7 linked regions of the Sus scrofa genome follow. The protein of the gene in region 2 interacts with the protein of the main gene of each other region in a pairwise test. Links are inferred from orthologs where the notes say so. Each region holds a gene or a part of one and is shown on either strand. Other genes may lie near its edges. The genes, in order: KLHL12, FLNA, RFLNA, HSPB7, ADAMTSL4, CASR and FABP1.

The links.
Region 1: the proteins of FLNA (region 2) and KLHL12 interact in binary tests that used the Homo sapiens proteins (3 or more experiments, as listed by UniProt). The two-hybrid records come from large-scale screens. The link is inferred for Sus scrofa from reciprocal best matches to the Homo sapiens genes FLNA and KLHL12.
Region 3: the proteins of FLNA (region 2) and RFLNA interact in a two-hybrid assay, tested with the Homo sapiens proteins (2 studies listed by BioGRID). The two-hybrid records come from large-scale screens. The link is inferred for Sus scrofa from reciprocal best matches to the Homo sapiens genes FLNA and RFLNA.
Region 4: the proteins of FLNA (region 2) and HSPB7 interact in binary tests that used the Homo sapiens proteins (3 or more experiments, as listed by UniProt). The two-hybrid records come from large-scale screens. The link is inferred for Sus scrofa from reciprocal best matches to the Homo sapiens genes FLNA and HSPB7.
Region 5: the proteins of FLNA (region 2) and ADAMTSL4 interact in binary tests that used the Homo sapiens proteins (3 or more experiments, as listed by UniProt). The link is inferred for Sus scrofa from reciprocal best matches to the Homo sapiens genes FLNA and ADAMTSL4.
Region 6: the proteins of FLNA (region 2) and CASR interact in a two-hybrid assay, tested with the Homo sapiens proteins (2 studies listed by BioGRID). The link is inferred for Sus scrofa from reciprocal best matches to the Homo sapiens genes FLNA and CASR.
Region 7: the proteins of FLNA (region 2) and FABP1 interact in binary tests that used the Homo sapiens proteins (3 or more experiments, as listed by UniProt). The two-hybrid records come from large-scale screens. The link is inferred for Sus scrofa from reciprocal best matches to the Homo sapiens genes FLNA and FABP1.

Annotation. Positions count from the first base shown.
Region 1 is NC_010452.4:24,885,982-24,889,481, forward strand, and holds part of KLHL12 (kelch-like protein 12), read right to left. Parts: intron 160-3,500; coding exon 10-159; intron 1-9. UniProt on the Homo sapiens protein: Substrate-specific adapter of a BCR (BTB-CUL3-RBX1) E3 ubiquitin ligase complex that acts as a negative regulator of Wnt signaling pathway and ER-Golgi transport.
Region 2 is NC_010461.5:124,888,831-124,892,951, reverse strand, and holds the start of FLNA (filamin-A), read right to left. Parts: upstream 2,801-4,121; 5' UTR 2,676-2,800; intron 1,112-2,675; exon of another isoform or gene 965-1,111; intron 30-964; exon of another isoform or gene 1-29. UniProt on the Homo sapiens protein: Promotes orthogonal branching of actin filaments and links actin filaments to membrane glycoproteins. Anchors various transmembrane proteins to the actin cytoskeleton and serves as a scaffold for a wide range of cytoplasmic signaling proteins.
Region 3 is NC_010456.5:28,824,282-28,827,781, forward strand, and holds part of RFLNA (refilin-A), read right to left. Parts: intron 3,030-3,500; coding exon 2,920-3,029; intron 881-2,919; coding exon 547-880; 3' UTR 1-546. UniProt on the Homo sapiens protein: Involved in the regulation of the perinuclear actin network and nuclear shape through interaction with filamins. Plays an essential role in actin cytoskeleton formation in developing cartilaginous cells.
Region 4 is NC_010448.4:75,172,119-75,176,348, forward strand, and holds the start of HSPB7 (heat shock protein beta-7), read right to left. Parts: upstream 2,801-4,230; 5' UTR 2,697-2,800; coding exon 2,501-2,696; intron 1,978-2,500; coding exon 1,844-1,977; intron 238-1,843; coding exon 58-237; 3' UTR 1-57.
Region 5 is NC_010446.5:98,582,756-98,586,255, forward strand, and holds part of ADAMTSL4 (ADAMTS-like protein 4), read right to left. Parts: intron 3,439-3,500; coding exon 3,381-3,438; intron 3,067-3,380; coding exon 2,726-3,066; intron 2,542-2,725; coding exon 1,863-2,541; intron 1,625-1,862; coding exon 1,522-1,624; intron 488-1,521; coding exon 351-487; intron 1-350. UniProt on the Homo sapiens protein: Positive regulation of apoptosis. May facilitate FBN1 microfibril biogenesis.
Region 6 is NC_010455.5:138,305,842-138,310,071, forward strand, and holds the start of CASR (extracellular calcium-sensing receptor precursor), read right to left. Parts: upstream 2,801-4,230; coding exon 2,616-2,800; intron 67-2,615; coding exon 1-66. UniProt on the Homo sapiens protein: G-protein-coupled receptor that senses changes in the extracellular concentration of calcium ions and plays a key role in maintaining calcium homeostasis.
Region 7 is NC_010445.4:57,853,400-57,855,430, forward strand, and holds the end of FABP1 (fatty acid-binding protein, liver), read left to right. Parts: exon of another isoform or gene 1-790; coding exon 791-883; intron 884-1,444; coding exon 1,445-1,495; 3' UTR 1,496-1,531; downstream 1,532-2,031.

The sequences.
Region 1 (3,500 bases), on a different chromosome or scaffold from region 2:
GGGACTCACCTCGGCATCTATGACGTCCGTGATGTACCTGGGGGTCAGCAGGGGCATGCGCACGTACTGCAGCAGGTCCGGCAGGCACTCCTCCCGCTCCCTCTTGGCGTGCTTCACCCAGTTGATGACGGCCTCGAAGACCGGCTCTTCAGAATCCACCTGTGAGCGTGCAGGACCATCAGGGCCTCCTCCACCCTTCCTGTCGTCTCAAGTCTCAACAAGTAACCCCGCCGACCTTCTCGTTCCTTCCCGCCCCGCCACTTCCCATCTTCCAGAAACAGCCAGGCTCTTGGGAAAACAAATTCTTTCAGACACAACTTGCTAGTATCATGAAAAAGGTTATAATCAAATTGGGTAAAAAAAAAAATCTAAGAGCAATAGTACATAATAGACAATCAGTCACAAATCAGCTTTTATGTCAGAATTTTCCCCATTCTTGATATTGTTTTTTCTGGTCATTTCTGAAGCTTTAGGAGGAGGAGGGGGAATCTGTTGCCCCCAAACCGGCTTTTTTTTTTTTTTTTTGGTCCTTTTAGCACCGCACCCAAGGCATATGGAGGTTCTCAGGCTAGGGGTCTAATTGGAGCTGTTGCCACCGTCCTACACCACAGCCCACAGCAATGCCGGATCCTTAACCCACTGAGTGAGGCCAGGGACCGAACCTGCAACCTCATGGTTCCTAGTCGGATTCGTTTTTGTTGCGTCACAATGGGAACTCCAAGACTGGCTCTTAAAATAACTTTTATTTGCAGGTGTTGGCTAAGGACCTTCAGGCTTGCTCCCCAACTCCTCAGGCAAGCCTGTGAAGCAGGAACTTCCCTCTGACACAGTAGGCAATGCTCAGTCCTCCAAGTGCCATCAACTGGTATTTGAGCTACTCTGGATTAGGCACGTGCTGTCTGTGATGATATACGTCATTAATCATTTGGGGAACTTAGGTCTAAGCTGCATTCCACAGATGGGTAAGGCAGACACACCCTAAAACACCCATACGCCCCCAGAAGAGCACCACTTAGGATAACACCTACGACCTCCCCGAGGCCCACACCTCAAAAACAGGCCTGTGTCTCTCCCGCCAGCCCTGGAGTGTGTCTGCTCTGAGAGCTGCCCTTCAGAGGGTCTCAGGGCCCAGACACAGAAACCATTCTGTGGACTTTTCTCAAGAACTGAAAACACGGAACTGTTCCAGAATATTCACTCATTCGATGGATTTACTAAACATCTACTAAGTGCCAGGAATTGTGCTGGGTGCTAATTATACAATGGTGAGCAAATCAGACATGAACCTTTCTCTTAAACAGAGAGACAATTGTTACATCAGAAAAACAAACATCCCCACTTTGTCATGATATACGTACAGGAAAAGCACAGGGGTTCTGAGACAGAATAACGTGAGACTTCTTCATTGAGCTTAATGGGTCGGGGAAAGCCTCCCTGCAGAAGTGATAGATTTAAATCCGCTGGGTGAGTAGGGATTAGCCACAGGGAATAAGAGAGTTCTCCATGGCAGACAGAAAGCACATGCAAAGCCCTATTACTGCACAATCCAATATAGGAGCTGTGAGCCACATGCGTGGCTATTCGCATTCACACTAAGTAAAATTCAGCTTCTCACTCACACTGGCCACATTTCAAGTGCTCAGTAGCCACATGTGGCTAGAGGCCACTGACCCATTCCGTCTTCACAGAGCATTCTACTGGACAGCTTGGGAAATAAGAGGCTAGTGCGACAGTGAAGGAAGGATGGTACAAAAAAGATGACGCTGGAGAAATAAACAGAGCATCAGAGGACTGGATTTTACTCTAAGAGCAGCTGGAAGCCATTAAAGGCTTCAAGCAGGCCTCAAATATGATCACAGCAGTGTTTTGTAAAGATAACTCTGACAACCACGGGTAGAATGGTTTAGAAGGGCCAAGCGCCAGGAGACCAGTTAGAAGCCACTCTGATCCATTAGGCAAAAGGATCTGATGCTTACACTATGGCAGTGGTGACAGAAATTTGAGAGGTTAAACTAACCCAGACTGCTGGTGGATGAAATGCAGGCAAGGGTGCAGAAGGGGGTCCATGGCGTTTTAAACAAACATCTGTTAAAGACAAGGACGACGCGCTAACAGTTCTAAACATCTGCATGCTAGACTCTGTCACATTCTAGGTTTAAATTAGACATACCAATTTAAAATGCTCTCCCCCCCTCCAGAAGTTCACCCACTGGTGGTTCAGCAGGTTAACCATCTGGCACTGTCACTGCTGTGGTGTGAGTTCAATCCCTGGTCTGGGAACTCTTGCATGCTGCAGTCGAGGCCAAAAACAAGGGAGGGGGATTTCAATCCTGAGCAGAGGTCCTTGATCTTTTTTTTTTTTTTTTTTTTGTCTTTTTGCCTTTTCTAGGGCTGCACCTGCGGCATATGGGGGTTCCCAGGCTAGGGGTCTAATTGGAGCTGTAGGTGCTGGCCTACACCACAGCCACAGCAACTCGGGATCTGAGCCGTGTCTGCAACCTACACCACAGTTCACGGCAACGCTGGATCCTTAACCCACTGAGCAAGGCCAGGGGCCGAACCCGCAACCTCATGGTTCCTAGTCAGATTCGTTAGCCACTGTGCCACGATGGGAACTCCCTTGATCTTTCCGAAGACAGGATAAACTAGAATTGCAGAGAGCTCAACCGGGAGGAAAATCCCTCAATGTTAATGCTTCACTGTTGAGAGAAATTTCCCCATAATAAATTTTCACAGAGAGAATTCTTTTATGCACCAAGCACTGTCACTCTTATTTAAGGCTCAGAACAGCCTGCGTAGTGAGTACAACTCTTACCTACACTTTATGCAAGAGAAACTGAGGATGGGTGGTTAGGTATCGTCACCTAGCCAAACCTAAACGCCAGTGCGATTCTGAAGCCCACGTTATTTTTTGTTTATTTTATTGGCTGTGCCCACTGCATATGGAAGCTGTGGGGCCAGGGACCAAACCTGCACCACAGCTGTAACCAGAGCCACAGCAATGGCAACGCCAGATCCTTAACCTGCTGAGCCACAAGGGAACTCTTCTAAAGCCCATGTTGTCTTAAATAATATGACTTACTGTTTCCCACTGTTTTAAGTACTACTGAGAGGCAGTGTCAGCAAGAGAGTCAGACATCTAGCTCCTACTCTGGCTGGTATATGAAAGAGGGAACAAATGCCATGTGCTGGAAGAAAGCAAAGGCCAGTCTCACCAGACACTTAAGAAAAACTATACAACAGAGTTCATCTCAGCTTCTGAATAGGTCAGTTATCTGCCCTCCCTGTTCCAACTAGTGTTATCCCAAAGTCTACACATTTTAAAATAAATGGCTGCTGCGATCTTGGTTAAATAGAAACAAACTAATGAGGGAGTTCCTGCTGTGGCACAGTGGGTTATGGATCTAACTGCTGTGGTTCCGGCTGCTGCAGAGTCTGGGAATCAATCCCTGGCCTGGTGCAGTGGGTTAAAGGTCCAGTGTCCAGTTCAGTTGCCTGTT
Region 2 (4,121 bases):
GGACCACTTGGCCTCCAGCGGGCAAACCAAACAAGGGACTTTCCTTCCCCAAGGCCCCTGCGGGGGGTGGGGTGGCGCGCCCTCCCTGAGTCACGTGGGCTCCCCTCGGTCCCCCGCAGCCCCTCGCAGCCCCCTCCTCCCCCGAGCTCCGGCGCGTGGGGTTCTCTGGCCGCGCCCCAGCCCGCCGCCCAGGCAGCGGCAGCCGCAGCGGCGGGAAGGAGCCCGATCTTAAAGGCGAGCCTTCGGAGAGCGCGGGGCCGGGCCGGGCGCTGCTGCCAGCGCTTTGCGCGCGTGCGCCACGCCCGGGACACCCCGCAGCCGCCCCGCAGACCCCTTGCCCCAGCCCGCCTTCCCGCTCTGCGCGGCCCTGGCCTGCGCACCTGCGCCTGCCGGTCCCCACCGCCTCCCTCCCTCCCCGCTCCACCCGGGAGGAAATGGGGCACTGGGCCAGGAGGCCACCGGCACTCCAGGAGCCTGCGGCCTTGGAAGGGGCCCGGGCGTGCCAGTGGGCACTGGCAGAGGGCGCCGTGCGATGCGTGCACGCGTGCGGAGACGACGAGTGCCCGCCTGACCCGCCGGCCGCCCACCCGGGGCAGTCGGGGTTGCCTGTCCTGTCGGGATGGCGCCCTTCTGGACCCCGAGGGACCTGCTCAGGGGTTCCGAGAAGCCTTGGCAGGCTCTGAGCACCTGGGCTTCGTGGCCGTGTTAGTGCCGAGGGGGCCCCCAGGACAGGGGAGCCAGGGGACTGCAGGGGGCAAAGCACGGAAGGCTGCCAAGCCCTGCCCAGGAGCCAGGACTGTGTCTCCAGGCAATGGGGAGCTCTTTGCTCCAAATCAGTTTTCTGTAGATGCCTGGAGACTGTGGGAGGTTGCTGTGGGGAGACATAGATCGGCAAAAGCCCAGGGTCAAGAGGCCTGTCGGGGACATCCCTGCCACCCTCTTCAGTCAAGAGAAGCCAGCTTACTCATGGCTTCGTCTCCAGAGCAGACGTACTTCCTCCCCTCTGCAGGATGTTCCCTTCTTTACATCTTTTTTTCCGGAAAGGCATTTGTCTGTCCCTCCGGCTTGATTCTTAGATTGAGCCGCAGACTGGTAATAACTAAGTTATCTGCTAAAGACCAGTGGGAGAGGAGGCCCTGGGTCAGTCGGCGTGTCATGCCCAAATATGGTTGACTCTCGCACAGCCCTGGGCGTCTGCATCCAGCGGGGTGCAGTCCCAGCTGGCGTCCCCCCTGCCCTTCAGCCTGCTCGCTCAGGGGGCTGACTGTCACTGCGCTGGTTTTTCCTCACCAATGGTGGCGGTACGGGAGCCGGACGGCATTTTTCAGTCTGGGGCTTGCCTCTCTGACCACTTTTGGACACAACCTGCACAAAAGTCCACACCACGGTGTCTGGGAACTGAGATGGAAGTGGGAGGGAGGGCTCTAAGGGGACCTGTCCCTACCAGGCCCCATTCGAGAGGAGATGACATTTGTCCTGATCCTCCTGCCCTCCTGGAAAGCAAGTTCCCGAGGACAGAACTACATCAGGAATTGATTTTCACTCCATAAGTGCCATCCAATGGGGTCCTCCCCGTTAATTCCTTTGTCTTCAGAAAGCAGGGAAACTGAGTCAGAGGAACTGACCAGTAGCCAGCTCCAGCGGAAAGGGGGACGGGACCTGGGTACCCTGGCTTTTCCAGCACTAGGCTGTCCCTATTTGAGGGAGTTGGGTAGGGGGTACAGGGTTCTTGTTCCTAGGGGACAGAGTATCACCACCAGATGGCGCCCCATCCCAAAGCCCCCAGATCGGGCAGTCCTTGGAAACCAAAATCCAGCTCTTTCATATTTTCCCTTATTTGGAGTAGATTCTTGGATGTTAGACACACCCCGCCTCCCACCCCACTCCTGGCCCTCCGACCCCAGGCCAAAGCCTCCCACAGGGGCACTTGGGCTAGTGAAGAAAGCCAAGCAGTGGCAGCATCTGGGCTGCTCAGGCCCGTCCAGGTGTGGCAGGTGAGGGCCACACCTTGAACACACGCAGGAGGCTCTGCCAGCGGACTTCACCTACTCCTTCTGGACCCCGTGGCATGGGAATCTGGGGACGTTGCTGCTCCCATCCTGGCCGGTGGTGAACATTCAGCTCAGAGCCAACCTGGGACAGGGCCCGGCCTGGGAACCTGGCCGTTCGGAGGAGCCCCTGCTTCCCGTGCGGGCCACACCCCTGCCCGTCTGGAGGGGCACAGCAGCCCAGGAGCCATCCCCCCTGTCCCCAAGGCAGTTGGTGCCCCACAGACCAGTGTCAGCGAGGAACCCACTGTCGCCCTCCCAAGGGCCGCGCCGACTGCGACGTGGCCTTCCAGGTGGCCACTGACCCTCAGCCCACACAGTGTCCTGCCCTCGGGGCTCTTCCTTCCCAGACAGTCCCGCCGCGGCCAGCTCATGGGTACCCACGGGGGCCCATCGCCTGCCAAAGGCTCAGCCACCCTCTCTCGGGGACACCCGTGCCCTTGGGCTCCCACACCCCTGCGTAGACGCAGTCACCGCGCGGACTAGGGGAGGCAGCACCTGGCCCTGGCCCGGGTGTGCGCCGGCGCCCGCGTCCTTGGAGCTCTCCGCCCGCCTGCGCCACCCCTGCCCTCGCTCCGCGAGCAGCTCGGCGACCGTCGCGTTCGGTGCCCGCCGCCGGGGCCTCACCTGCTGTCCCTGCGGGCGGGCGGCGACCGCGGGGTGGCGCCTGGCCGGTCTTAGAGCCCGCGCTGGGCGCCCGGGGCTCCACTGGCGTCCGCTGCGCGCCGTGCGCGCCTCCACGCGAAGGGGCCGCCGCCGCCCGCCTTCTTGTTGGCCGCACCCCCGCCCGCGCCCGGCCCGGCCCGGCCCGGCCCGGCGAGAAAGCCTTAATTGGTAAAATCGCCCAGGAGCGGGGAGGGGGGCGCGGGGGCGCGCCATGAGCTCAAGCGCCCGGGCCGCTGGCGACGCCCCCCCACCCCCGATGAGCTCAGCGTCCCGCGAGGGGGGGCTCACCTCGAGAGCCCAAGGGGTCCTCAGGGCCCACGTCTCAGCCCAGCAGCCAAGGCCACCTCCTCCAGGGAGCCACCCACCGTCACGGCCCCCTGCCTTTGCCCCAAGCCTGGGCTGGTGGGGTGGGGCCAGGCCATCGCAGGTGTTCCCCTGCCACCCGAAAATCCAATCCGCAGTGGGGCAGGGACCCGAGCCCCACAGCGAGCAAGCGTTTCGGCTGCCACTGATTTGGCCCCTACTGGGTGCCAGGCCTGGCCTGGAACTGAATTCTCGGGAGCAGGGTTAGGTACAGCCCTGCGACCGGGTGGGCACAGCCACGCCCTGGCACTGCCAGCTCCCTCTTCCTCTTCTCCGTACCCATTTCCTGGTAGCTTCATATTCAGCTCAAATGTCTCTTCCTCGGGGAGGGTCACATAAAGCAGTGTCTTAACAAATTTTGCCCACAACCCCCAATAAGAACTACATTTTGTGTCCTGAGCCAGGACTTGCCCGCGCACCCCCAGAGTGACACATAACTGAAAGCAATGTCTCACAAAGCGAGACTCTCCCTACCACCAGAAAAGCACTGAAATTTTCTATTCTATTCTACCTCATTAACAGAAAGAAAAGAAGGAACGGAAGAAGGGAAGCAAAAACGGAGACGGAGGAAAGAAGAGGGAGGGAGGAAGGAGTCTGGTTCCACCTGCTAAAGGACTTGGGTGATCCACTGCTCAAAGCTAGCAGGAAGGCGCGGATTGCCTTCCAGGCCTCCCGGCATCCACTGCTGCCTTTCCCGGCTCTGCCGGCGATGACCTTTCCACCTTGACCCAAGCTGGGATCTCGAGCAGTGGTCTCTGTCTCTCCCCCCTCCGCCTAGTGGGACCGCCCTGTCCCCCCACCCCCGCCAGCTCGAGGCAGCGGGTTATCCTCATTTGATAGATGAGGAGCCTGAGTTTAGGTCCATGAAGTGGCTGTGTTGGAGTTCACGGCCAAGGCTGTCCCTTCAAAGAGGGAAACCCACCTGCTGTGGGCATTGCAATCAGAACCAGGGGTACAGTAAGTCGGTAGCAGGAAGGAAGTGGTGGCCGGATGGTTGGAGCTCAGAATCCCCATCTCTGTTTTAATCCTCTTTACACCCCCCCC
Region 3 (3,500 bases), on a different chromosome or scaffold from region 2:
TCCGACAGAGGCTGCCAAGCCACGGCTCTGGGTGTTCAGCTGCACACAGTTCAAAGTCCGGCTCCGGAAACAGCCCTCTCCAGGAGCATGTGGTGGTGCCTGGATGACACCCCTCTGCCCTCACATGCAGCCTGGGAGCTGGGGCAGCGGGGTGGGGGGCCCAGGTGCTAAAGAGCACCCACCTCCAGCCAAGGCTGGGACACCTCCCTCCTGCCAGCACTCAGGGTGTCCCCCGCTTCAAGGGCAGCCAAGGACACACGTCTCCTTCTCTCCCTGCCCATGTCTCCTCTCCCTGCCCATCGGGACAGCCACTGCCTACCCACCAGGTGCTCCTCGTGGGCCAGCAGCCAGGCCCCCGCTGCCTCATGCTGTGTAGGTGCTAATAAGATAGTTGTGTTGATTAGTTGGCCATGCAGACCAGACAGGATGCTGCCGGGGGAGCGGGCCAGGCAGTCGGCCAGGCCTCCCACCTCCCTCCGGCCCCAGCTTCCGGCCCACCGATCGTGATTGCAGAGTCCGTCCTCCGGCAGCAGGGCTGGCCACCCATCAGAGCGCGGCAGGGCCCAGGAGGCTGGGTCCAGGGCACTGGCACAGCTGCAGCTGCACGCTGGCCGTGAACCAGCGGCGGGGCCGGCCCAGGCTGAGGTGCAGGGTGGTGCGGAAGGAGCTGCTGGCGTGCTTGGGGAAGATGATGGTGGTGCTGCGGAAGTGCAGCGCGCGGGGCCGGGGCTCCAGGGTCAGCTGGCTGCGGTAGCTGCGCCAAGTGCAGTTGGGCGCTGCCACGATCGTCTCGCTGTAGGCGGTGACCGTGGGCACCGGAGCATAGAAGACCTTGTCCCGGAAGTGCTTCTCTGAGGCATACTTGACCTCCGAGTTGCAGCTGAGGAGGGCGGGAGGATGCGGGTGAGCCCAGGACCCCCACGTGAACAACATGGACCGCCCAGGCTCTTCGGAAATGCCAAGGTCAAAAGGACAAAGAAGGGCTGAGGGACCGAGCCGGCCTGGAGGAGACTCAAGAGGCATGATGACTAAGTGCCACTCGTGACCCTGGCTGGATCCTGAACTGGCATAAAAATAGGCCCTAAAAGGACATTTGGGGGCCATGGGTGGAATCTGACTGGGCAGTGGTGGTGTTTGCACTTTAGCTGTCCCAGTTTTGGCAAGTGGACTGTCATTATGGGAGAGGATGTCCCTGTTCTTAGGAAGGACACCAGCTGGAGTATTTCAGGGTTCAAGGTCAGCGTGTCACCAACATCCCAAATGGTTCAGAAAAAAATGTTTCGTGTCTGGAGAATGAGATCGCGAGCAAATATTCAAGCCAACAGGGCAAGACGAGAAGAACCAATGAATCTATTTTATGGGAGGTCCCTTGTATTCTTTTTTGTTGTTGTTGTTTTTGTTTTTGTTTTTTAGGGTCGTACCCATGGCATTTGTAAGTTCCCAGGCCGGGGGCCAAATCAAAGCTGCAGCTTCAGGCCTACGCCACAGACACAGCAATGTGGTATCCACGACATGTCTGCAGCCTACACCACAGCTCGTGGCAACGCTGGATCCTTAACCCACTGACCGAGGCCAAGGATCAAACCCGAGTCCTCATGGATACTAGCCGGGTTTGTAACCTGCTGAGCCACAACGGGAACTCTGTTCCTTGTACTCTTCCTGTGATTTTTCCATAAATTTGAAATTTTATCAAAATAAATTTCTCCCAAAGTAGCCTCAGCACCTCAAGATAAGTGACCCACTCCCGAGGGACCTACCGCGCCTTGTCCCCCAGCTCTGCTCCCAGAGAACTGCACTGGAAGGAAGAGCTCCAGGGAGGGGGCGGGGACTTCACCTGTCCCATCCTGACCGCACCCTGCAGGTGATCCATCTGGGAAGGGAAGCCGTGGTCCTCAGGGCCCAGGCAGCTCTTGCCACTCCTGCTGGGACCTCTGATAATAAAAACTAAAAAGGAGAGCTTGTTGGGAAGAGAAACCTATAAAGTGGACCTGTTTTTTTCCGGGGACCATATCCAGAGCCAGAGGAGCAGGAGGCAGTGCGCGTCACCTCCTGGCTGCCCAGGATGACATGGACAAATCCATCCTGAGAGCCCCGTGGGTACGCGGGTGAGACCCAAAGACCCGAGACTCCATCTTCTGGAAGCCTGACCCCCAGAAGGCTTCTCAGGAGGGCAGATGGCTGGAGGAAAGCTGTGGATGGGAAACGCCTGAACACAGAAGGCCAGGTGCCACCTGAGATGCCTCCACGTGGGAGGGCACCTAATACACAAGTGGGCTCCTTGGGAGATAAAGGTGCGAAATTACAGTCACCTGGATGCAGTGTTCACACACTCTGAGGGAAACACTGAGTGGGAAAGAGGGTCCTGGTTTGCCCATAGAGTTTGGTTACAGATCCCTAAAAACCTGGCAGGACGGGAGGGGAGAGGGAGTTGCATTAGGTGTGTGAGGGGTTATGTTGATTGTTTTCCAAACTCTCTGGGTGATTGGATTTGAAATAAAAATCAGGAGTTTCCTGATGGCTCTGCAGGTTAAGGATTTAGCATTGTCACTGCTGTGGCTCAGGCCACTGCTATGGTGTGGGTTCGATCCCTGGCCCTGGGACTTCCAGGTGCCTCAGGCACAGTCAAAAAAAAAAAAAAAAAAAAGTAAAATAATAAAATTAAATCAGCCCGGTTGGAGGTGAAGGTTAGTGTGCAAATAAATGGCCGAATGTGAGCCTGGGACGGGGGATGGGGGACAGGGGACAGGGAAGGCTGCCTGGGAACAGAGTCTCTTCGAATCATGGCTGTGCCTCCTCAGGGTGCGGTGCCCAGAGGGGCTGCCTAAGGGAGGGGAGCCCCCTAGCCTGGCCTCCCCTACCCTCTAGGGGGTCAGGACCAGCCCCTGCCCCACCCCCACCCGGCCAAGCAGCCCCACTCACCGGATCTCGTGTGTGGGTTCAGGGTTCACTTCGATGCTCTCCCCAAAGAACACAGGCAGCATCCGGGGCCTCATCTCTCGAGCCAGGGCACTTGGGGGGAGGGCAGGGGGCTATGGGGAGAGTCAGGGACACAGGGTCACAAGAGCAGCCTTTCACCACTGCAGCCTCAGCTCTCTGCCGGGCAAAAGGGTCACCCTGCACCCTCCAGCCCCAGCTTAGTCTGCTTTGTGGGAACCATCAAGAAGCCCACCCCAGCAGTTCCCACTGTGGTGCAACAGGATCAGTGGCATCTCCGCAGAACCCGGACACAGGTTCGATCCCTAGTCCAGCACAGTGGGTTAAAGGATCTGGCACTGACAGTGTAGGTTGCAATTTCAGCTCAGATCTGATCCCCGGCCTGGGAAACTCCATATGCCATGGAGCGGCCAAAAAAGAAAACGGAGGAAAAAAAAGAAAAGAAAAAATAAATAAATAAATAAAAAAGCCCATGCCTGTATCCTTCTGTGGAATCCAAGCACTCAGATGCCTATGGCGCCCCACCATGCCTGCCCCCCAGTTCCCAGGCATCGCAATAAGGGGAC
Region 4 (4,230 bases), on a different chromosome or scaffold from region 2:
CAGCCCAGTGGGGGAGAGGAGAGGGCGGTGGGGGCAGGGCCGGGGAGGGGAGGGCCCTCAGATTTTGATCTCCGTCCGGAAGGTCTGCTGGACGTGCTCCGTGTGTGGTTGGCGCCGGGCCCGGATGGTGAGGCTGCCGTCCTCCCGCAGGGCCGAGGTCACCGATGTGGGGTCCACATCCTCTGGCAGTTGGCACTTGTGAGCAAAGGTGTTCATGACGGTGCCGTCAGCTGCCAGCTGGGGAAGGGGTGATGGGTCAGGGCAGGCTGGCCCCCACCCTTGTACTGCTCACGACAGGCCGCAGCCCCGGCTGCGCCGTCTAACCCCAGCTGGGCTCCCATGTGCTGAGAGGTTCTGCTCTTAGGTGCAGAGGCCCTGCCTAGGGGCTGGCCAGGGTAGGATGGGCGCAAAGATGCTCAGCGGCGCTCCAGTGGTCCCAGGGGAAAGGCAAGGGGTTGGTGGGGGAGCTCCGAAGGAGAGGAGGCTTGGTGGCAGAATCTGGGGCTCCTGTGTGACAGGAGAAGGCACAGAGCAGAGCCGAGCCCTCCTGGATACCCAGACACATTGGTGTCCACCTCCGGGGCTGGGCTGGCAGCCCCTCCCCCACGACCCAGCCAGCACATGGTGTCCAGAAGAGCCTGGGGCGGCTGAGTCACTGGTGGGGGTGGCAGGGCTGCCACATGCTGCCCACTGGTCCTGGTGCCCATAGTCCCTGGCTTCCCCGATGGAGGTGCAGGGCATCCTCCCATGCTGGAGAAAGAAGCTGGGCTGTCCGGTGGGGTAGCTTTGGGCCTACCCTCTTCTCTAAGGAGCAGCTGTGGCTCTAACCCGCTGGGGGCAGCCCCCCTCCTCAGCCAGGGCCACACCCTCCTCGAGGGTGCAAGTCTCCTGGGAGTTAGGACGTAGAGGCCCTAGTGACACAGTGACCCTGAGATCCATGGGCAGAAGAATTGTGGGGTTTGGAGTGTGTGTGACCTTGAACTGCAGGGCTGCTGCCTAGCCTTGAGCTCCATTCTGGGGTCCAAGAGGGAAGACGGCTTGAGGGCTGTCCCATGGGGGAGCTCCTTCCCCCTAGCCGCCCAGGTGAGCCCCCCACCTGACCACACACCTGAGGGAAGAGCTCTCCTCTCACCCCCCCTTCTCATCTCTCACCTCCTCTTACGTCCCCCTCTCTCTCTCTTTTTTTTTTTTTTTTTTTTGAGCCACAGCAACGTGGGATCTGAGCTGCATCTTAGACCTACACCACAGCTCACGGCAACGCCAGATCGTTAACCCACTGAGCAAGGGCAGGGATCGAACCCGCAACCTCATGGTTCCTAGTTGGACTCGTTAACCACTGCGCCACGACGGGAACTCCACCTCCCCTTCTCATCTTTCACTGCCCCTTCTCATCTCTCCTGCCTCTTCTCACCTCTCACCTCCTCATCTCTCACCTCCCTTTCTCACCTCCTCTCACCTCCCCTTCTTACCTCTCACCTCCTCTCACCTCCCCTCTCCTCCCAGCCTCAGGTGCCCCACCCTCTGCCTCCTCCCGCCGCCCCCCATCCCCTGTGGCTTCTTCTGCTGCCCTGGGCTCCTGAAGAAAGGATCTGGGAATGCAACAGTGTAAATCAGCTACACTTCAAAAATAAAATAAAATTTAAAGGAGGATCTGGAAGCCTCCAGGCAGAGAGCGGCAGTAAAGGGGGCCCCGTGGCTACAGGAGCAAGGCCCCCAGTTTGTCCTGAAGTTTTAGGGGGCACTGGTTAGGGTGCAAGGTCCCAGGATGGGACATGAGAGTGGGGATGCTGGACAGAAGGTACCTGTGCGGAGCCCCCAGTCTTAGGGGAGGGGGCGGGCTCACCTTCTCAGCTCGCACCTCAATGTGGTTGTTGGAGGTGGTGACAATGATGTCTTCAGGTGAGAAGTCACTCACGTCCACTGCAAACTCGTAGGCATCGCCCAGGGTCTTGATGTTGCCAGGCCCCCCGGTGCGGGCTGTGGGGAGGGCTGCTGTGAGCTGAGCACAGGGCAGGCTGGCACCCAGGAGGAAGGTTTCTGGCTCCTTCTCCTTGGGGAAGGGGCGGCCCCCCAGGCCTGACCTCCCTCTCAACTGTGGCTCCTCAGCTGCCCTGGCCGTCCCTCCTCATTTCTCGAAAGCCACCTCTCCCAAGGTGGGGAAGGGCCTTACTCGGCACCGGTATATGACACTGTCCATAGCCACTCGTCCCAGGCCTGGACTGGGGATGCACCTTGCCCGCCCCCCCAACACATGCAGCTCTCCGGGGCTCCAGAGAGGGCCTGGCCACAGGGCCTTTGGCCCTTGGCACCTTAGCTGACCCCCAGGCCAGAGCGCTTCCTGGGAGGCCTGCCTGGGGCCACATCTGTCCTGGTGGCCCTGCAGCTGTGCAGCACCTGTTCCTAGCAGCTCAGCAGCCGCAGCTGCATGGGGTGGTGGCCTGGAGCAGGTGTCCCCTCCCCCGTGTGCCTCCCCTCCCCCACAGCGCCCCCAAGCACTTGCCTGGAAAGGCCAGGGGCTCTGAGTGGGGCCGCATGAAGCTGCCAAAATCCTCGGAAAACATGCTCAAGGCCTTCTCCATGGGTGGGTCCTGGGCCGGGAGGGTGTGGGAGGCCGAGGAGGACGAGGAGGAGGAGGAAGAAGAGGAGGAATGGAAGCTTCTCTCCGCTCTGAAGGTGGAGGAAGTCCTGTGGCTCATCCACGGGCAGGCGGCCGGGCCCGGGCTGGGCGCAGGGGCGGACAGGAGAGGGTGCGGACAGCCAGCTCTGGGGGAGCATGCGGGGCCCTGGCCGGCGGTGCTTTATAAGGCCCGACCGTCCCTGGGCGCAGGGCCAGCCCCTTGTCTACCAGCTAAATTTAGTCCTCTCCATGGCCCAGAGGAGCTGGAAATCTTCTCCAGTGAGACGGCCCTGCTGACAGTTCGGCCCAGGCTGCCTGTGAGGCTGAGCTCACAGTCCAGCATTCCAGGCTGATAACTCCGCATGGGGGGCCTCCCAGGGCAACGAGGTGGGGGCCCATGCTGTTCCCTTGCCACTCAGACCCCTGCCCCCCTGCCCCGGGACCTTGTGTGTGCAGGCTTTCTGTCTCTGTCTCCCCCATCAGACGGCAAGCTCCTTGAAGACATGGTTTTCTCTCTTTCCTGTCCTGTCTCCCCCAGAGTTCTAGCCCTTGGTGAGAGGGATCTGGGTGGCAGGTGATCAGGACAGAGGGGCCCAAGCCTCTGACTCTGGGGAGGACAGGAAATGCAAGTCAAGAGGTCAGAGGGGCGTAGAGGACCCCCACCTGCTGGACCCCTGTGGGAGGTGAGGGGTTCATCCTGCAGGACAGGCGATGTTCACAGCCATCTCTTAGGAAGGACGGAGACAGCCCTGAGTTGGGGGAGGGGGTGGAGAAGGTGCCACTGTTGCCCTGGCAGCCCCTCCGGGGACCCAGATTTCATAATTGTCCCCCCTCCCCCTCCCCCCGACTCTGGAAACATTAACGGACCCAAGACGAGAAAGCTCAGGCAGGGCTGGTGGTTGGGCTGGACCCAGGGGAGGAGAGCAGAGAGTTCTGTAAAGGTTGGTAGCAACCTAAAAACTTACATTCCTAGGAATGGTCCGCTTGACCTCCAGCTCAGGGGAGATGTGGGGGGTGGCAGGGGGCAGGGCTTCAGCAGAGAGAGGGGAAGGAGGCCCCCACAAGACAGTGGTTCCAGCTGTGACTCCTGAGGTGCCTGCTGGGCCCAGGCTCCAGGTGGGCCTCATCTGATCCTCTCCCTTCTTGGGAAGGGGATGTTCTTTCTTCCCATTTTACAGACAGGGAAATGGAGCCTCACAGAGAGCCTGGGGCTTGCACGTGGGTAAGGGGCAGAGCTGGGATTTGAACACAAACGTGTTTGATCCAAACTCTCCAGGAGGCCAGGGTGACCTGAATATTCATGTAGGGAGCCTGGCTGGCCTGGAACACCCTGAGAAGCCCCTCCTGTGCCCACCCACGGACCAGTGGAGCCAGGATTGACATCATGCAGGACCAAAGGGGTGAAGCGGGGGAGGGCTATTCTGGGAGGTTCCTGGGGCCTCTGCTCTTCTCTCCAAATCCTGCCCTTCCTCCCCAGATCAGCTCTGGTTCCTCTTCCCCCAGGGAGGCCTCTCGGATGGCTTCAGCCCACACAGGGGGTCCTGCCCAGATGTCTGACGTACTGGCAATGTTTGCCCAGCCTGGCACCTGAGTGTGGCGTGGTTTTCCTGTGT
Region 5 (3,500 bases), on a different chromosome or scaffold from region 2:
CTGCTGGAAGCCAGCCCCCACCTCACACCTGGCCCAGTTCTCTTGGGAGCCTTCAGCTCGGTGAGTGTCTTGACCTTAGCACTCAAGTGAGACTGTGTTTCTTTGTCAGTCCCACCAGCCCCAGCCAGCCTCCGAGAAGCTCAAGGGGCCTGGGGGGGGGGGTCTGTCTTGCAGTTCACCCCTTGGGTCTGCTCGGCCCAGCTGGGCAGGTAAGAACTTCCCTCTTTGCAATCTCAGCCGAATATTTCGCCATTGTGATACTGAGCAAGGAGACTGGGTGTGTGCCTGCAGTACTTATTAGGAAATGAACACTGCCCACCTCCCCAAGCTCACGCCCCATCCTCCCTCACCAGACAGCGGCCAGCCACGCAGATGTCTAAGGCTCCAGGCTGACACAGGGTTCCGTCCTGGACCTTTTCAGTGTGACGGACATAGAAGCGAAAGCCACGGGGACGGCAGTTCAGTTCACAGCGCTGGGAACCCTGAACTAAGAGACAGGGTAGAAGGGTAGTTAGCTGGGGTCCCAGGAGGGGATGTTAACTAGGAAAGATCCCAGGGCCCTGAGAGCAGCTTGGCTTATATCAGCTACAGAGCGTCCTGAGGTTGCCAAGGTCACTGTGGATGAAGGAAATGCGACAATTCTGTCCTCTGAAAGGGCAGCTTGAGGGTCACACAAAAGTTGGTTCAGGAGTTCCCGCTGTGGCTCCATGGAACAAACCCCTAGTATCTATGAGGATGCGGGTTCTATCCCTGGCCTCACTCAGTGGGTCGGGGATCCAGGGGAGCCATGAGCTGTGGTATAGGTTGCAGACGTGGCTCGGATCCCAGGTTGCTGATCCCAGGTTGCTGTGGCTGTGGCGTAGGCTGGCAGCTATAGCTCCAATTCGACCCCTAGCCTGGGAACCTCCATAGGCCACACCTGCAGCCCTGAGAAGCAATAAATAAATAAATAAATATTTTAAAAGTTGGTTCAGATCAACTGAGGTTACTGAGACCAGAAAAAGGGTTGTGAACTCTGAGAACAGAGATGCTTGAAACCATGATTATGTGAGTTCACAGCTCAGGAGGGGTTGTCTTGATATCAAGGTGACAGGGCTTAAAATCAAATGGATGGCCACTTGGAAGAAAGTGATATAACCCTGTACAGGATCCATGGGGCGCCCGCACCCACCTTGTCACCACTGGACAGGATCGCTCTGCCCACACCCAGCTCATGGCGTGTCCACCCCATCTCCTTCCTCTCCCCAGAGGACACCAGCCAAAGGGCACCTCTGGATACATCCCTCTCCCAGACTGACCCCTCCGCTGACCATCTGTCCCCCCTCCGACAGCTGGGGCCCTGTCTGAAACCTCGCCCCCTTCTGGGCCCGTTCTGTCTCTATTCCCCAGCCCTGGGGAAAAGAACATGGCTCAGGAGAAATACAGAGCCTACAGAGGCGAACAAGAAGGGCTGAGTGTCTCGCCCGCCTCCTCCCCCAGCCTTAAGTCCCCCTCTCCGGGGGGGTGGGCTAGAAACCTCACCTTCGGTGAAGGGCTCCCACTGGTACAGCTGGCCCATGAACTCCTGGGAGTCAAAGGCTGCACACTGCAGGGCCCGGGGATCTGGCTGCTCAGGGGGGCAGGGCTGAGGTGGGGGATACAGAGGAGTCAAAGCTGGGGAGGAAAATGGGGGTGTGGGTCAGGGCTGGATTTGGGGGATAGGGAGGAAGGTCAGGTCTGTGGCAGAGCTCCAAGGCCCCTACCCCGAGGAGGCCGGATGCCAAGGCCCTTCTCCCTCAGGTCCAGCTCCGACAGGCAGAGAACCCAGACTCAAGGGCAGGGAAGCAGAACGGAAGTCTGGGAGGGGTCCAAAAAGAACTCACCGCTTGGCTGCAGGCTCTCAGCTGCTCACTCTCCCCAGAACATCTTGGGACAGGGCTACTGGGAGCAAAGAGACTCCAGAGAGAGCTGGAGTGAGGGCCGGTACTCAGCAGAGGCAACCAGCCATGGGGGTGGTGAGGGGCAGACTCGGTGAGGGACCTGAGCCGATCCCCCCCAGGTCTCCAGCGCTCCGGGCTCTGCTGGCCTCGGCCCGGAGGGACAGAAAGGAAAGGATGAGGGTGTCTCTCTGCCAGCTGGGGACTGGCCCCACCCTGGGAACCTGGCCTTCTTGGCTGAGGAGATGCGTGAAAGGAGCGCCCTTCTCCTGGGGGTGGTGGAGAAGAGGGCCCTGTGACTGAGGCCCGGGTACTGGGGTGGGGCCCTGTGGGGGCAGGCTCGGTTCTAGAGGGCACCTCTGTCTGAGCAGCTTCGGGACTTGGGGAGTCCGCTGGGGGGGACCGGGCAGGGGCAGACGGTGCTGTGGGAGGAAGTTCAGTTTGCGGGGTGTGGTTTGCAGAGGATGGCACTGCTCTTGGCATCAGGGATGGAAGGTCTGAGGTCTGCGAGAGCTCAGATCTGAGTGGTCTCCGCGGGTGCCTGCGGTTCCGATGGAGCGGCAAAGCAAAAGGCACTCTCCCATAGCCAAACATTCCTGGCTTGATGGGGTCTCGAACCCGGGACCTGAGAAGGTGTTTGCAGACACGGGGTCACAGAGCTGGTCATCTCCGACGCTGCCTCCCCAGTCTACTTCCTAGCACCAAAGATAAGCCTTTCTCAGCCTGGATCTTTTGCTCCACTAGCCTTCATCCCAGGCCCCGCCCCTTGCCCAAGGCCCCGCCTCTCCCCTCAAAGCGCCACCCCTCACCTCCTGGCTCCTTGAGTCTCCCGGGCCTCCTCTCTCCCTAGTTGAGAAGCAGGACCTCGAAAGGGGCCACCTCTTCCCCGAGGCGGTGGCCTGTACAGGGGAAGGGTTTCTCGGGAAGTCTGAGGTCTAGGGCCTTGACCCCGGGGGAGCAGGCCTTCTGGATGTCTTGGGGGCCGGCCCTGGTGGAGGTGAGCTGCAGGGAGCTGACACTTCCGGCTCCTGCGCTGCACCCCCACCCCGCAGGGCTGGGAGCAAGAGGCCCACTGGTCCCAAGGACCCCAGACACCCTCGGGGCCCTGGCTCTCCTCAGGGGGTGTCTGAAGTGAGTGTCCAGACAACACCTGTGTAGACCAAAAATTTAAACGAAATTAGAATGATTTTCGAGGGTACAGAATATCTGTACAGAATATCCAGTCCAAAGCTGGAGGTTGGGGCAGTTGTTACTGGCCCAAGGTCACATTCAGTGGCAGAGGTAGGACTTGAGGTTATTTGGCAAGGAGTTAGGGTGTTGGGGATGCTGGGAGGGCCAAGCGTGAGAGAAAGGGGCCATGGCTTGCCAGAGGCTTTGGAAAATGGAGACGTGGTCTGTCTGGAGACTGCAGGGCTGGGGGGGGACAGGGAGAGGAAGGTTCACAGCCTCTAGTCCCCTGCTCACCTCCTGATCCAGGCAGAGCTGAGGGAGGGACAGAAGCAGCATCAGACACAACCCGGGCCTGCAAACCAAAGGCAGGAGTGAAGGTGCTGTCTGACACCACCCCTCACCCCTAGTGGGCTC
Region 6 (4,230 bases), on a different chromosome or scaffold from region 2:
CTGCTGTTTATTTCCTCTATGGCAAATATCATAGCTTGTAACCAGCGAAATCCACGGAAATTATACCTGGAAGAGAGAAGAAATGGGAGAAAGCAAGAGGCTTTCTGGTCAACTGCTTTAGAGTACAGACTGGGCAGAGCTGGGTTTGTACGTGGCTCTGTTACTCTGGTTTCATGACATTGTTTTTTTGAGACTTCAAGTCCTCTGTGTGAAATGGGGATAATGCTTACCTCAGGGGGTGGGCGAGAACATGAGATCATTATGCAGAAGTCTCAGTATGGTGCCTGACACACAGTCAGGGATCAATAATAACGAGGATTGTGGTTAGTAATAGAATGAGTAATTTGTATCTGCCTCGTCTAGCAAAGAATTTGAAGTAGCTGATATGAGGTACTTTAATAATAAAGTAATAGAGTTTTAAAAAGCAAAAAGGACTAGGGAAAATATAAATGGACTAGGATTTTACTATGTAGGAACCTAAGAATAACTTGAGATTTGCAGTCACCAATTTAAACCATGACATTCCTGGAGTTCGAAGGGGAAAGGGAAACAAACAAGCAAACAAACAAACATTCACGAAGGCTGTTCACACGCAGTCGTTACTCCTGGGTGGTAGGATGATGAGTTTTTAGACTGTGTGTTTCGATCTTGTTTATACTTTAAAAAAAAGAGCATGCACTGCTTTTCAAAGAACACAATTTTAAATAAAAATCAAGCTGATTAACAAAGAGAAATAGGGTCAGTGACATAGTTTTTACTCTTCCAGGACATAACATGTAGTGAGAGTTTGATTAATGTTCTGAATCAGTGTATCAGCGCCCAGAGAAGATACCTAACCACTCTGCAAATTCTCTCTTTGCATCCTGGGTTTCAGGACTTTCACTCAATGACAGGAGGAGAGAAATACAAGCTGTTATACTTCACTGTATCAGTTAGGTTCCTAAAGGCGCCATTTTCTCTTTGTCATTTTCTTCATGTTTCCTTTATTTATTTATTTGTTTTAAACCCGCAAAGTGGAGTTCCCACTGTGGCACAGCGGAAACGAATCCAACTAGGAACCATGAGGTTGCGTGTTCCATCCCTGGTCTCGCTCAGTGGGTTAAGGATCCGGCGTTGCTCTGAGCTGTGGTGTAGGTCACAGATGCAGCTTGGATCTGGCCTGCCTCTGGCATAGGCCCGGCCTCTACAGCTCTGATTAGACCCCTAGCCTGGGAACTTCCATATGCTGTAGATGCGGCCCTAAAAAATAGACAAAAATAAAAATAAAAATAATCCCACAAAGTCTTGAAGACAAATGACAGAATTTTTCGTTACATAAAACATCTATAAAGCTAAACTGATTTCCCTATCTTTCTTTAACATTACCAAGATAAATATATTATTTCACAGCAAGGCCTTGCTTGATCTCCAGGTATGTACGTGGCACTTGCACAACTCTGTGCAGCAGGGTATCACAAAGAGGGTATATGTCCACCTTGGTTATGTGGAGGCTATACACAGCATCAATGAAATTCTACCCTTAGCTTTTGTACATTCATAAAAAAAATGTGAAAATGTTATCTGATTTGTGAGCCCTCGTTAGAACCTGAGCAGAAATCTAGTTTTGTTGGAATGATCCTACTTTTCGTTTTCTTTTTCTAGCTATCAGGAGAAGTACTGGCTCCCTTCTGGAAGTTGCAAATCTCAAGAGAAAGTGCTCTTTTCGCTCAGAAAATGGGTCAGGACTTGGGGTGCAGTATTGGTCTCTGATGTTGAGATTGAGGGAGGCGATATATAGCCCCCTGTATTCTATGGAAGTCAGCTACTATTTGAAAGAATCGTGCCTAGTTTTAGATGCCACATTCTAAAAGAGTTGTAATAAATTGGGGAACATCGGATTGAGGGCAACCAGAATGGTGAGGCTCTGGAAATCATGTCATGAAATCATTTTTCAGAAAACAGACTATTTGGCCTGGAAAAGTAATAATTCGAGGGGACATGTTAGTTGTTTTCAAATGGCTGAAGAGAGTCCGGTGAGAGAGTTGGCTGGACTCTGTGTTTCTCCATCTCTGTTAGATGGATTCTGTGTTCGCAAGGGGATTTCTGCCTTCTATGAGATTTTCTAATGGGAGTGGTTCCAAAATGTCATGGGCTGTGTTTTGAAGATGCCCGGGTCATGCCAACCACTGAGGTTTCTTTCAACTTTAAAATCCTTAAAAAAAAAAAAAAAAAAAAAAGTGAGGCAGCCAGCACTCAGGTATTAATGACTGTTGGAGCACTTAAGGTCAATAGGAAATTTTATTACTCAGGTTTATAAAACCCACAACAAATATCCTTCTAGGTACTTAGTCTTCCATTAAGCAACACTGCCTCCCAGTGAACAATGATGACTCAGTTACCAAGGGACCGAGCAATAGACTACAGATTTTTCTACTCAGTGTCTTTGATGTTTTGGTTTTGGAAAAGTTTCTTTTAGAAAATTGAGGGGGAGAGGAAAAATAAGCTTCAGCAGGATTACCAATCAGCATTTTTTGAACAGAGAGAATGAGTTTTGCAAAAATTATTTGGGGTTTGGTACAGCTTTTCTCCAACCACCTAGAAGAGAAGAGAGTCTCTGCGGTGGTTCCTGCCCTTACCTGATACATTCCACAGACTCCGGCCTTGACTCTAGGTTCTGATCTTTGGCTGCTACTCCAAAATGAATAGGAAAGAGTCCCCCGAGGATAATGTCCCCTTTCTTCTGGGCTCGCTGGTCGGGCCCATATGCAGACGTACACCAAGTCAAAGCCAAGAGGATCCAACAGCAGCTGGAAAATGCCATAGTTCTGCTTTCCCTCCAGGGGGAGGACCAAGAGTGCAGGTGGTCTGGGGGCCCTGAGAACTTCCCCCGTTGCTGTGGCTCACTCCCTGTGGTGGGGGCACATGTCTGCAGAGCAATTAATAGCAGGACGGAACCGTGGTGTGTGAATTTCTATTTCTGCCTTCTTCATTGCAGGCTAGTAAGGTAGGTCGTTCTTGAGTCTTCAGAAGCCACATCATGTAGAGATTTCTTTAAAAAAAAAGACGAAAATGAATTCAACTAAGCCTGAATCCAATGTCTTTACGATGACTGCTACAGAAGTGGCTCAGAATTTCTAATTAGAGAGGCTAAGGGGTAGCAGGTGGGGAGGGCATCGCTTAGAGTCTCATTTTTTTTTTTTTTGCTTTTTAGGGCTGCACCTGTGGCATATGAAGATTTCCAGGCTAGGGGTTGAATCAGAGCTACAGCCGCCAGCCTACGCCACAGCCACAGAAACTTGGGATCCGAGCTGCGTCTGCAAACTACCCCACAGCTCACGGCAACGCCGGATCCTTAACCCACTGAGTGAGGCCAGGGATCAAACCTGAGTCTTTTTGGATGCTAGTCAGGTTCGGTAACCACTGGGCCACAATGGGAACTCCTCAGAAAACTTCTTAGTGGAACACCAGCTGAAGGAAGAACCCAAAGTCCTCATGGATCCTAGCGAGGTTCATTAACCACTGAGCAGCCACCATGAAGGGAATTCTTGAGTCTCATTTTCATAGTATAAGGCATAGAACTGGCTTAGTGGTAGCAGTTCCTTGTGTTATAATACTATTAATGCTATTTTATTTAGTGCATATATTTTTATGGAAAGTAGAAAATCAGTCACATTTAAATTTAAATTCTGACTTCAAACAAAAAATGTCAGAAAAGCTACTTATCCACTTACTTTTATTTATTATTGCAGTCCCCCCTTTTGGGGGCCTCCTCATTTCCAGATCTCTGGTTCCAGTTTGTAAAGGATACTCCATAAACCTCTGAGGAAGAGTTCTTATAAAGAATGCAGATGAGTTCCCGTCGTGGCTCAGTGGTTAATGAATCCGACTAGGAACCATGAGGTTGCGGGTTCGATCCCTGGCCTTGCTCAGTGGGTTAAGGATCCACCATTGCCCTGAGCTGTGGTGTAGGTCGCAGACACGGCTTGGATCCCGCGTTGCTATGGCTGTGGTGTAGGCCGGTGGCTACAGCTCCGATTCGACCCCTAGCCTGGGAACCTCCATATACCTCGGGAGCGGCCCAAGAAGTGGCAAAAAGACAAAGAATGCAGATAAATCAAGTGTCAGCTTATGTTCTCCCAGGCTCTCCAGCTGGATCTAGGGAATAGTCCTTCTCCTTTAGCAAGCTTATCCTACTAGGAACTCTCTGCTCTTCTCCCTTGATACTCTCTCACCCGCTCAGTGGGTCGATTG
Region 7 (2,031 bases), on a different chromosome or scaffold from region 2:
ATTTTCTTCCACGCCCACAGTAAGGGGCAGGCCATGATGGGTTTTACCACAGGCCTTTTCCAATGGCCCTTTATGGAGGCAAAGCTTTAAACTTGGCCAGTGTCTTCTCCCTGCTGGGTTTCCGTTATCTCTTGCTGGGTGCATGAATAAGAGACCACAATAAGGAAAGATAAAGATGGTGGAATGAATAATTCATACCAACCAAAAATATGTGTCCTCCCAGCTGGCCAGTATTTTGAATTTTGCTACTCCCTCCCTCCATTTGCTTGGAGAATTGCAAGGTTACTAGAGTTTATTCTAATGTTTGCTTTTGAGACCACTTAGCGGTCCTATGTGGATACCTAGATCACATCCCATAAATGAAAAGCCTGACAAAGGAACCACCGCCATTTTCTTTAGTTCTTTATTATTATTATTATTATTTTTTTTTTTTTAGTGCTGTACCCATGTCATATGGAAGTTCCCAGGCTAGGGGTCACATTGGAACTGTAGCTGCTGGCCTACACCACAGCCACACCCACTGAGCGAGGTCAGGAATTGAACTCATATCCTTATGGATACTAGTGGGGTTCGTTCCAGCTGCGCCACAATGGGAACTCCAGATTTTCTTTAGTTCTTAAGGCCCCTCATTTCTATTCAGAGCCAGAGCACAGGGAGGGGCCATGTCACACAAAGCCGAGAGGTTTGGTTGCCATCATCAGAGACCTACACAGGGAAGCCAACCTCACTGGTAAGAGGTTTACCCTCTTGCAGACCCTTCCTCACAGTTCCTTTCTTCTATCCCCTGCAGACAGTGGTTCAGTTGGAAGGTGACAATAAACTGGTGACAACTTTCAAAGGCATCAAGTCTGTGACTGAACTCAACGGTGACATAATCACCAGTGTAAGTTGGTGCCCAGAGCTTGTGACTCCTAGCGCTGGGGGTGGGGGGTGGGGTGAACGTGAGGGAAGCCAATGTCCTTTGATATGCCCATGGCTCCTAAGCCTCCCATCTCTTGCGTGGGAGGCAGGATGGGGGATTTCATTGGCAAGTTGACTTGTCCAAGGTCATCCAGCTAATGAGTTACAGAATCAGGGGTCAAACATAGATCTTTCCTTTCCATTTCATTGCTGTTGAGGTTAAGAGGCTGCTTTTTTACTCTGATGACACTACTCCCTCATCATTGCCACAGTCTTATTCCAGAGGATCAGCAGGAGAGAGGGGCTGGGGGATAAAGGAGCATCCTTCAAAAACTCCAAAACTTTATAAATCAACTAAATTTTTTTTTTAAATAATGGAAAAAACCTCCAAAATCTATGCATCCAATGCATCTAATGTTTCCATAGTCTTCGCAGCTTTGGGAGGCAAATTATGCACTACTTACTGTGTGTTAGCATATGAGGGGCTTAATTTTCCTTTACAATTCAACCTCAGGTGAACGTTTCATGATTTCTTTTCTTTCAGACCATGACACTGGGTGACATTGTCTTCAAGAGAATCAGCAAGAGAATTTAGACAAGTCCGCATTTCATAGTCTTATATCATGTAAAATTAATGCAATAAAGTGAACTTTCTTTTTCAAAAAGATGTCTTTTCTTCATGATGGCTTTTCATTGATGGTGCTATTTATTGAGCACCTATCACCTCTATTTTTGTGAACCTTGTTGATCTGCATGTTCCATCCTGCTGGGTCAGGTCTGAAGGGTGATTCTCGTCTTGAAAGCAGATCCCAGGCTGTCCATTGGGTGACCCTATGAAGAACACATGATGTGGCTGGGTGTGTCTGTAGAGTAGCTGTGGAATGACCTTTGCCGGTCAGGCACATGGCAGGGAGCTGGAGCAAGAGGGTGTGCTGTGTGTTGGGTCACTCCCGGGCAAGAGGGGGCGGGGGGAGTAGGAACACTAGACAGGCAAAGGGGAGCTATGCTCACAGTGACCCCATTCTCCAGGGGACATGAACAAAAAGAACAGGCACTGACCCACCAAATGAACAAGTCTCTTTCCTAGAGGAGAGCTGGTAGGGGAGCTTAGCAGAAGGTGCCAGAAGTGGA